Linked DNA regions of Cricetulus griseus. The protein of the gene in region 2 purifies or fractionates together with the protein of the main gene of each other region. This does not show direct contact. Links are inferred from orthologs where the notes say so. Each region holds a gene or a part of one and is shown on either strand. Other genes may lie near its edges. The genes, in order: Reep4 and Retreg3.

Evidence for each region.
Region 1: the proteins of Retreg3 (region 2) and Reep4 purify together in Homo sapiens (affinity purification with mass spectrometry; 3 studies listed by BioGRID and IntAct, with this or other methods). This does not show direct contact. The link is inferred for Cricetulus griseus from reciprocal best matches to the Homo sapiens genes RETREG3 and REEP4.

The regions. Positions count from the first base shown.
Region 1 is NW_023276807.1:225,190,097-225,194,344, forward strand, and holds the start of Reep4 (receptor expression-enhancing protein 4), read left to right. Parts: upstream 1-1,254; 5' UTR 1,255-1,710; coding exon 1,711-1,742; intron 1,743-2,496; coding exon 2,497-2,569; intron 2,570-2,982; coding exon 2,983-3,059; intron 3,060-3,150; coding exon 3,151-3,271; intron 3,272-3,672; coding exon 3,673-3,786; intron 3,787-3,962; coding exon 3,963-4,098; intron 4,099-4,225; coding exon 4,226-4,248. UniProt on the Homo sapiens protein: Microtubule-binding protein required to ensure proper cell division and nuclear envelope reassembly by sequestering the endoplasmic reticulum away from chromosomes during mitosis.
Region 2 is NC_048600.1:114,143,745-114,147,558, forward strand, and holds part of Retreg3 (reticulophagy regulator 3), read right to left. Parts: intron 1,956-3,814; coding exon 1,818-1,955; intron 463-1,817; coding exon 380-462; intron 1-379. UniProt on the Homo sapiens protein: Endoplasmic reticulum (ER)-anchored autophagy regulator which exists in an inactive state under basal conditions but is activated following cellular stress.

The DNA.
Region 1 (4,248 bases), on a different chromosome or scaffold from region 2:
AGGAAGGAGGATCTCTGTGAGTTTGAGGCCAGCCTGGTCTACAGTGTGAGCTGAAGGACAGCCAGAGAAACCCTGACTTGAAAATAGCCCCTCCCCTCAAATCAATCAATCAAACAAAAACTGTCTCGAAAACCAAGATAATTATAATGATGATAATGATGATAAAATACCCAAGTTTTGGCCGGGCGTTGGTGGCGCACGCCTTTTTATTTTTATTTATTTATTTATTTAATTTTTATTTATTTATTTATTTTTATTTATTTAATATTTTCAAGTATTATACCTTTCCGGTATGGCCAACCTCTTAAGAAGAATCTTTAATAACTCCACCATCTCACACAACAAAAAAATACATGAGCACGAAAGCACTGCACAAAATAGCAAGTGATGGTTTTAGAACTTTCTGTGAAGTTTGTATCCTTCATTCAGACACAGATAGAATTCCAAATTTCTGGTAAAGAAGACATGGGTGAGTCTGGATCTTCATTCAATCTCTCAGGACACTAGGGTCAATGTGTGCCCAGATGTATGGATCTGCTTTAGAGAGAAGTGGAACCCCTGGGAGGATGCCTCCCCGACTCCACTCTTGACCATTAGGATGGAGGGATCAGCCAAGCCTACTTCCAGCTGGCACCGGAGTCTCCCGCTGGACGCATTCATTTCATGCTCATTCATTCATTCATTCATTCATTCATTGGTTTTTCGAGACAGGGCATCTCTGTGTAGTTTTGGAGCCTGTCCGGGAACTCGTTCTGTGGACCAGGCTGGCCTCGAACCCACAGAGATCCTTGTGCCTCTGCCTCCCAAGTGCGAAAATTAAAGGCGTGCGCCACCACCGCCCGGCTCATTTCACGCTTTATCTCATTCTACAGACAGGCAGAACAGGATATCGGGAGACTCCAATACAATTTGTTTTTTCTTTCATTATGAACTTCTTTCCTTTTGTTTGTTTGCAACATTGTCTTGATATATCTGTAGCCCAGCCTGAACCGATAATTCTCCTGCCTCAGACTCAGGGGTTCATGTGAGCGCCACCACATTTAGCTAGGAGTCCGGGTTGTTTTTGTTCTCTGTGTCTTTCCGTTGTGACTTTCCACCTGCTAACCTTTCAGACCTGGAACACTATTTGACCCGTGGCCCCACTTCGGCGCTGCGAGCAGCATCGCCGCTTTAAGGGACCGGCCTTTTGTCTCCACGACCTCGCCCCGCCCCTCTGGAGGCTTCGTTGCGCCTGCGCCTTGAGCTTGAGCACCGGGGTTGGGCAAAACCAGGTTCCGTGCAACTTTCAAGTGAGTTACAAACTCCGCCCCGGACACTGGTGCAGGTGGTCTGTCGCCCCGAACCCTGACGGTCCGTGAGAGCGGAGATCGGGACCTGCTTCCCCGACACGGGGCTAGCAGCGGCGCCCCCAACGGACGAACGCGCGGTGTTCCTTGGCAGGACTTGTTGGACTGAGCCGCAAGGATTCCGCGGCGAGGGGCGGAGGAACGCGCCCGCCTCCCCGCTCCCTAGTCGTCTTCCTCTTCAAGGCCCTACGTCCACTGGTTCCTGGTTCTCCAGGCTCCTCGCACTGTGGGGTCGGAGTCGGGGTGGTGGTCTCTGCGTACGCGAGGGACACTTGTACTGCAGCGCCACTCGGCTCTTTGCCCCAGCTCCTGAGTGCAGCGTCCCTCCAGTTGTCTCTTGGGGGTCATCCCCAAGGCTGTCAGGATGGTGTCCTGGATGATCTGTCGTCTGGTGGTGTGAGTATGGCCCCTGTGAGACCCCTCTGATTCCCGGTGCCAGCCTGCCTTTGGGGTGGAAACTGGGAACGTTTGGTAAAGGAGAGAATTTTCTGAACTCCATCAGCCTTCCCCTATCACACGCTTAACGGTCCTGGAGGTCTGAAGTGGGACCTGATCAATGAATGCCTTTCTCCCAAGCCGCATCTTTCTAAAGGCTGATTGGGACCCTTCCGACATGCGCACACCCTGCAGACAGGTGCAGGCAGGGCTCGCTCAGGCTTTGCTACCCACAACCCCGTGAGAAGGTGATAGGCGCAGCTGTGGGCGGAGAATCCAGATTCCTCCTTCCCATCTGAGCAGCCATATAACCCATCACCCACTCCCCGGCTTTGGCCTCTTAAGTCTACCCCTCACTTTTGGATATTCCAACACCTGGCTCAAATGTCTCTCTCTGCAACCTGGTGGCCCTGGGCCAGTCTGTGTGTAGTGGAAGGGTACAGCCTGGTGCTCTCACTCACCTCGTTGTGTGTTCTCTGTCTATCCTGTACCCATGGGCCACCAGTGCAGGCCTGAGCAGGCTTGGGATGTTTGTAAACAGCTGGGTGGGGAGGCGGCCTCCAGGGCACTGACTCAGGCACCTTGGGTTGTGCAAGCCAAGCGGGAAAAACAGGGCAGGCACTGCCACCTCGAGCCCAGTTTGGGGGAATCAGCCATCTGGCAGAGACAGGGTGGGGCATAGTGCCCCTCACACTTCCCATGGCTGCTGTTCCAGGCTCGTATTTGGGATGCTGTATCCTGCATATGCTTCCTACAAGGCTGTGAAGAGCAAAAACATTCGAGAATATGTGAGTGCCAAGGGTTGGCGGGAAAGCTTAACTAATGTTGTTGATCTTGAGGAGCAGTCAGGGAGGGGTGATAAGACTTGGTGATATGGAAGCGGCTGAGCTGGCCTCTCAGACTCCAGGGCCTTGATGGTGTGGCAGCTCTTGGGTAGAATGGTCAAGTAAGTGTGAAAGGAGGGCCAGCCATTAGCATGCCCATGGAGGACCTCGTGGGTGAAGCATGCTGGGGTGAAAGGCACTGGAATTCATTCACTGGAATGAAAGGCAGTTTCTCAGGGGCTCCTTTCTACGCAGACATGGGGAAATGCAGCAATGCTGTGGGACTGGCTCTCAGGAATCTCTGGGTTGGGCCAGCCGGGGGGTGGGCGTTGGCACCTCAGGCTCCCAAGCTGAGCTCTGTGCACTCCGACCCACAGGTCCGGTGGATGATGTACTGGATTGTCTTTGCAATCTTCATGGCCGCAGAGACCTTCACAGATGTCTTCATTTCCTGGTTTGGCACAGGATTGGCAGGCCATGGGTTGGGAAGGCCTACCCACTACCTCGCACCTGGCTCACAGACACCTCTCCCCGTGCTCCCGCAGGTTCCCTTTTTACTATGAGATCAAGATGGCCTTCGTGCTATGGCTGCTCTCACCTTACACCAAGGGAGCTAGCCTGCTTTACCGAAAGTTTGTCCACCCGTCCCTATCCCGCCATGAGAAGGTACCCCTGGGGGAGATAGAGAAGGAACACCAGAAGGGTGTGTCAGGGAGAGCCCTGTATCTCAGGTTCAGGGAGCCAGAGATACCTGGGTCTCATTTCCTGTCCCACTTGCTGTGGGACTGTGAAAGGGGTTGGCTTCCCTCATGTGAATGAACTTCAGGGGTGTGACATGCCAGCAGGAAGTTGATGTGGGCATGGGAAAATTGAAGGGACACTCACTGAGGTGTGGAGTAGGTGTTGTGGGTGGGGAACCCTGCTCTTAGTTTTTGTTCTGAGCTTCTGTCTGTGGCTCCTGGGTCCTAGGTAAGAGTGGGCAAGGGATTATGACAGCCAGTAGCTTCTTGGGGTCTGCGGAGAAATGGCTCCTTTGTTGATCTGAGCTCTCTACTCTGGTTCTGCAGGAGATCGATGCATGCATTGTGCAGGCAAAGGAGCGCAGCTATGAGACCATGCTCAGTTTCGGGAAGCGGAGCCTCAACATCGCGGCCTCAGCTGCTGTGCAGGCTGCTACCAAGGTGCTCTGGGTCCCAGTGCTCACAGCGGCAGCCCCACTCCCAGTACCTTTGAGCCAGTCCAGTTCTGAATCTTGTGCCCTAGTGATTAGCTACAGACCAGCTTTCCTGCTAAAGCCCTTCCCCCGTAGCCCTCTTCTGCAATTAATATAGTGCCCCCCCCATCCCTCACCTCCCAGAGTCAGGGTGCTCTAGCTGGAAGACTACGGAGCTTCTCCATGCAAGACCTCCGCTCTATCCCTGACACCCCTGCTCCCACCTACCAAGATCCCCTCTACCTGGAAGATCAGATACCCCGACGCAGACCCCCGATTGGTAAGTGGAAAAGGAATCCAAAGCTGACTTGGGAAGGTCTGCCTCTCTGAGGGCTAGAGGGGAAGCTGAGAGTGACCCCGGGTTTGTATAAATGTTCAGCTTTGCTCTCACTACCCTTTCTTCACAGGGTACCGGCCAGGCGGCCTGCAA
Region 2 (3,814 bases):
CTGCACCACAACCTTGACCCCTGTTAGGCTGCTTCCCTAAAGGGAACATTTTCTCATCAACCTTTTGAGGTTGGGCAGTCTTAGATAATCCAGAAAAATATTAACCAAACCTCTAGGTGGACTGGTTGCTGAATAGACTTACGTCAGCTCCAGGTTTTTCCATGATGGTAAAGTAAAAGGAAACCCAAGTGAACGTGCTGTTCACCAGGCCCATACAGTAGCAGGTTCTCTCCTCAGTGCTGCTATTGAGAAGAGAGTAAGGGGAATCGAGGGTCCTTGACGGGCTTAAAACCTAGTTACCATCTAAATGTGAGCAGCTAGACAGATAAAGAAGAATTAAGAAAACAGGCCAGTAGAGCCGCTTCCCCACACAAGATACCTGAGGACAGAAGGCGGCAAGCTCCTCTTCACTGTCACTGTGGTTGTTCAGGGCACGTTCTGGGTGTAGAGCTCTCCGGCGCACTATGTGGAAAGAGCAGAAGACCTTGATGGCTTCAAGGGAAAATCTCCTTTGGACTCCAAAAACATCATGACACAAGAAGAGGCCCTCTAAATATAGCCCTAAGTCTGCATAGCAATGTCTAAAGGTAAGAATACTGAGGCTGAGTAGTAACTCATGAAACTACATCTTTCCTCCAACATCCTTCCTTTGTCCAAGCCCTACACATTCTAGATTCTGGCTAGACGATAAACTACCAAACCACCCAGGAACTCTGAGGATCTGCTAGGGGCAAATACAAAGCAAAGTGGTACAAGTGGGAACAGTCATAGGAAGAAGGGAGGCACTCATGTTGGTTAAACAAGGCTTTTAATGACTGGTATTTTTCAACTGGTTGATGAAGCCCAGATGAAGATGGTGACCACATATGGGACTCTTTGAAGGCCAGGGCTTAATGAAACACCCAAACTGGTAAACCAAAGAGAGGGACAAGTTTACGATACCCTCTTTGTGTTATGTAGCCTCAGGCTAGTAGTGCACTTGTGGCATCTATGGTAGCTGTTTTCAATCCACTTTAGCAGACAGCTTTCATTAATTGAAAGAGGCTTAAGGTACAAAAACCTGCTGGGCCATGGTGGCACACACCTTTAATCTCAGTACTCGGGAGGCAGAGGCAGGCAGATCCCTGTGAGTTTGAGACCAGCCCGAACTACAGAGTGAGTTCTAGGACAGCCAAGGCTACACAGAGAAACTTGTCTTGAAAAACCAAAAAAGTGCAAAACCCTACATTAACATTTACTCAGTGTAAATGTTTTTTACAGTGTACAAAAGCAGTCAATACAGGGCTCGGACACTTGGAAGGTGTTTCATAAAAGCAGGTGGACTATGAACATCTTTGATGTCTTTTACTCAACTTGGAGTTTTTCTCAGATTGGTTTAAAATGGGAGCCTAAGTGAGAAAAACTGGCAAGCCTGCCTAAGTTTCTCAGAAATAGGATACTATACTTCCTTACCACCCAGGATTTCTACCAACTACCCCCTCCCTACTTCTTGAAACTTCTTGAAATTTTTAAAATTACTTTTATCTGTTGTTTCTGTATACATGTGAAATGGTAACACCTGTGGAAGTCAGAGCACAACTTTGTGTGTGTGTGTGTGTGTGTGTGTGTGTGTGTGTGTGTGTGTGTGTTTCTCCTTCCATCACAAAGGTCTCTCGTATTAAACTCAGGTCATCAGGCTTGGTGGCAAGCACCTTTACCTGCTAAGTCATCTCATGGACCCTATTCCTCCCACTTTTAACACTTGGCCAGTATGTGACACCTGGCTTCTCCACTTTCTCAAAGTGTCAGGTAGAAGAAAGCCACCCCATAACACTTACATTGTCTTTCTCTCTGCTTGGACATCATGTAGCCACGGACACTGAAGTCCAGCCGCTGCAGAGCTGGCTTCAGTCGCACATAGGCTCGATCCCATAGTCGGTGATATACAGCCAGAGGCCACATCATAACAGTGACAACTGAGGAGAGTGGAACAGTAGGAAAATAGAGATCACACAAAGCAATCCTACCTACCCCTCCACTATTGTGTCCCTAGGACTCAAGATACTGCAGAAAATTCTAGTTATTTCTGCAGGTCACCTCCACTAATGACCCCCATTATACAGTTTTGAGAGCAGGGACTACTGTAGCCATCCACAAGGTACAGGTCATGGCTATGCATAATATAATAAGCCACAGACAGCCCAGGGACAGAGCTAGGAAGTGTGGACATATGGAACAAAATGATGGTAACAGTCATGTGATTCTGAGATAAATTATGTATAAAAAATAGTACACGTAGATGTCCAACATGACAGCACACACCTTTAATTCCAGTGTGCAGGAGGCAGAGGCAGGTGGATTTCTGTGAGTTCAAGGCACGCCTGCACTACATGAGTTCCGGGATGGATGGATGGATGGATGGATGGATGGATGGAGATAAAATAAAACACCTGGAACTAATTTCTTCCAGCCTCCAACAGTACATGCCAGTACAAAGTAACTACATTACAGGAAAAGTCCTCCAGAGTGAACACAGAGAAGGAACCTCAGAACTGTCTGGAAAGCTCCATAAACAGAGGCGGTCCTTCAGGATGGGACACCATGTACATTAGTGAACAATCATCAATGTCTACACCTTGGTAAGATGGGCCAGGGATATATATCAGTGGCACAACACTTGCTTAATATGCATGGCATGCTGGGCTGGGTTCCCCAGTACTGCAAGCTCCCCAAAAGGAAATGGAGTTTATGCCTTATATGTGGAATATCAGTTCCACGTGAAAAGACGTTTAATGATACCGATCATGTCCTGAGTATATGAAAAGAAGTAATTGTTGGAGAACTGAAATATAATGATGCTCTTCCTAGGCCAGCAGTTCTCAACCTGTGGGTCCTTTCTCAGCAGCTGCATATCAGACACCCTGCATATATCAGACACCCTGCATATCAGACACCCTGCATATCAGACACCCTGCATATCAGACACCCTGCATATCAGACACCCTGCATATCAGACACCCTGCATATCAGACACCCTGCATATCAGACACCCTGCATATCAGACACCCTGCATATCAGACACCCTGCATATCAGACACCCTGCATATCAGACACCCTGCATATCAGACACCCTGCATATCAGACACCCTGCATATCAGACACCCTGCATATCAGACACCCTGCATATCAGATACCCTGCATATCAGACACCCTGCATATCAGACACCCTGCATATCAGACACCCTGCATATCAGACACCCTGCATATCAGATACCCTGCATATCAGACACCCTGCATATCAGACACCCTGCATATCAGACACCCTGCATATCAGACACCCTGCATATCAGACACCCTGCATATCAGATACCCTGCATATCAGACACCCTGCATATCAGACACCCTGCATATCAGACACCCTGCATATCAGATACCCTGCATATCAGATACCCTGCATATCAGACACCCTGCATATCAGACACCCTGCATATCAGACACCCTGCATATCAGACACCCTGCATATCAGACACCCTGCATATCAGACACCCTGCATATCAGATACCCTGCATATCAGACACCCTGCATATCAGACACCCTGCATATCAGACACCCTGCATATCAGACACCCTGCATATCAGACACCCTGCATATATCAGATACCCTGCATATATCAGATACCCTGCATATATCAGATACCCTGCATATATCAGATACCCTGCATATATCAGATACCCTGCATATATCAGATACCCTGCATATATCAGACACCCTGCATATCAGATACCCTGCATATATCAGATACCCTGCATATATCAGATACCCTGCATATATCAGA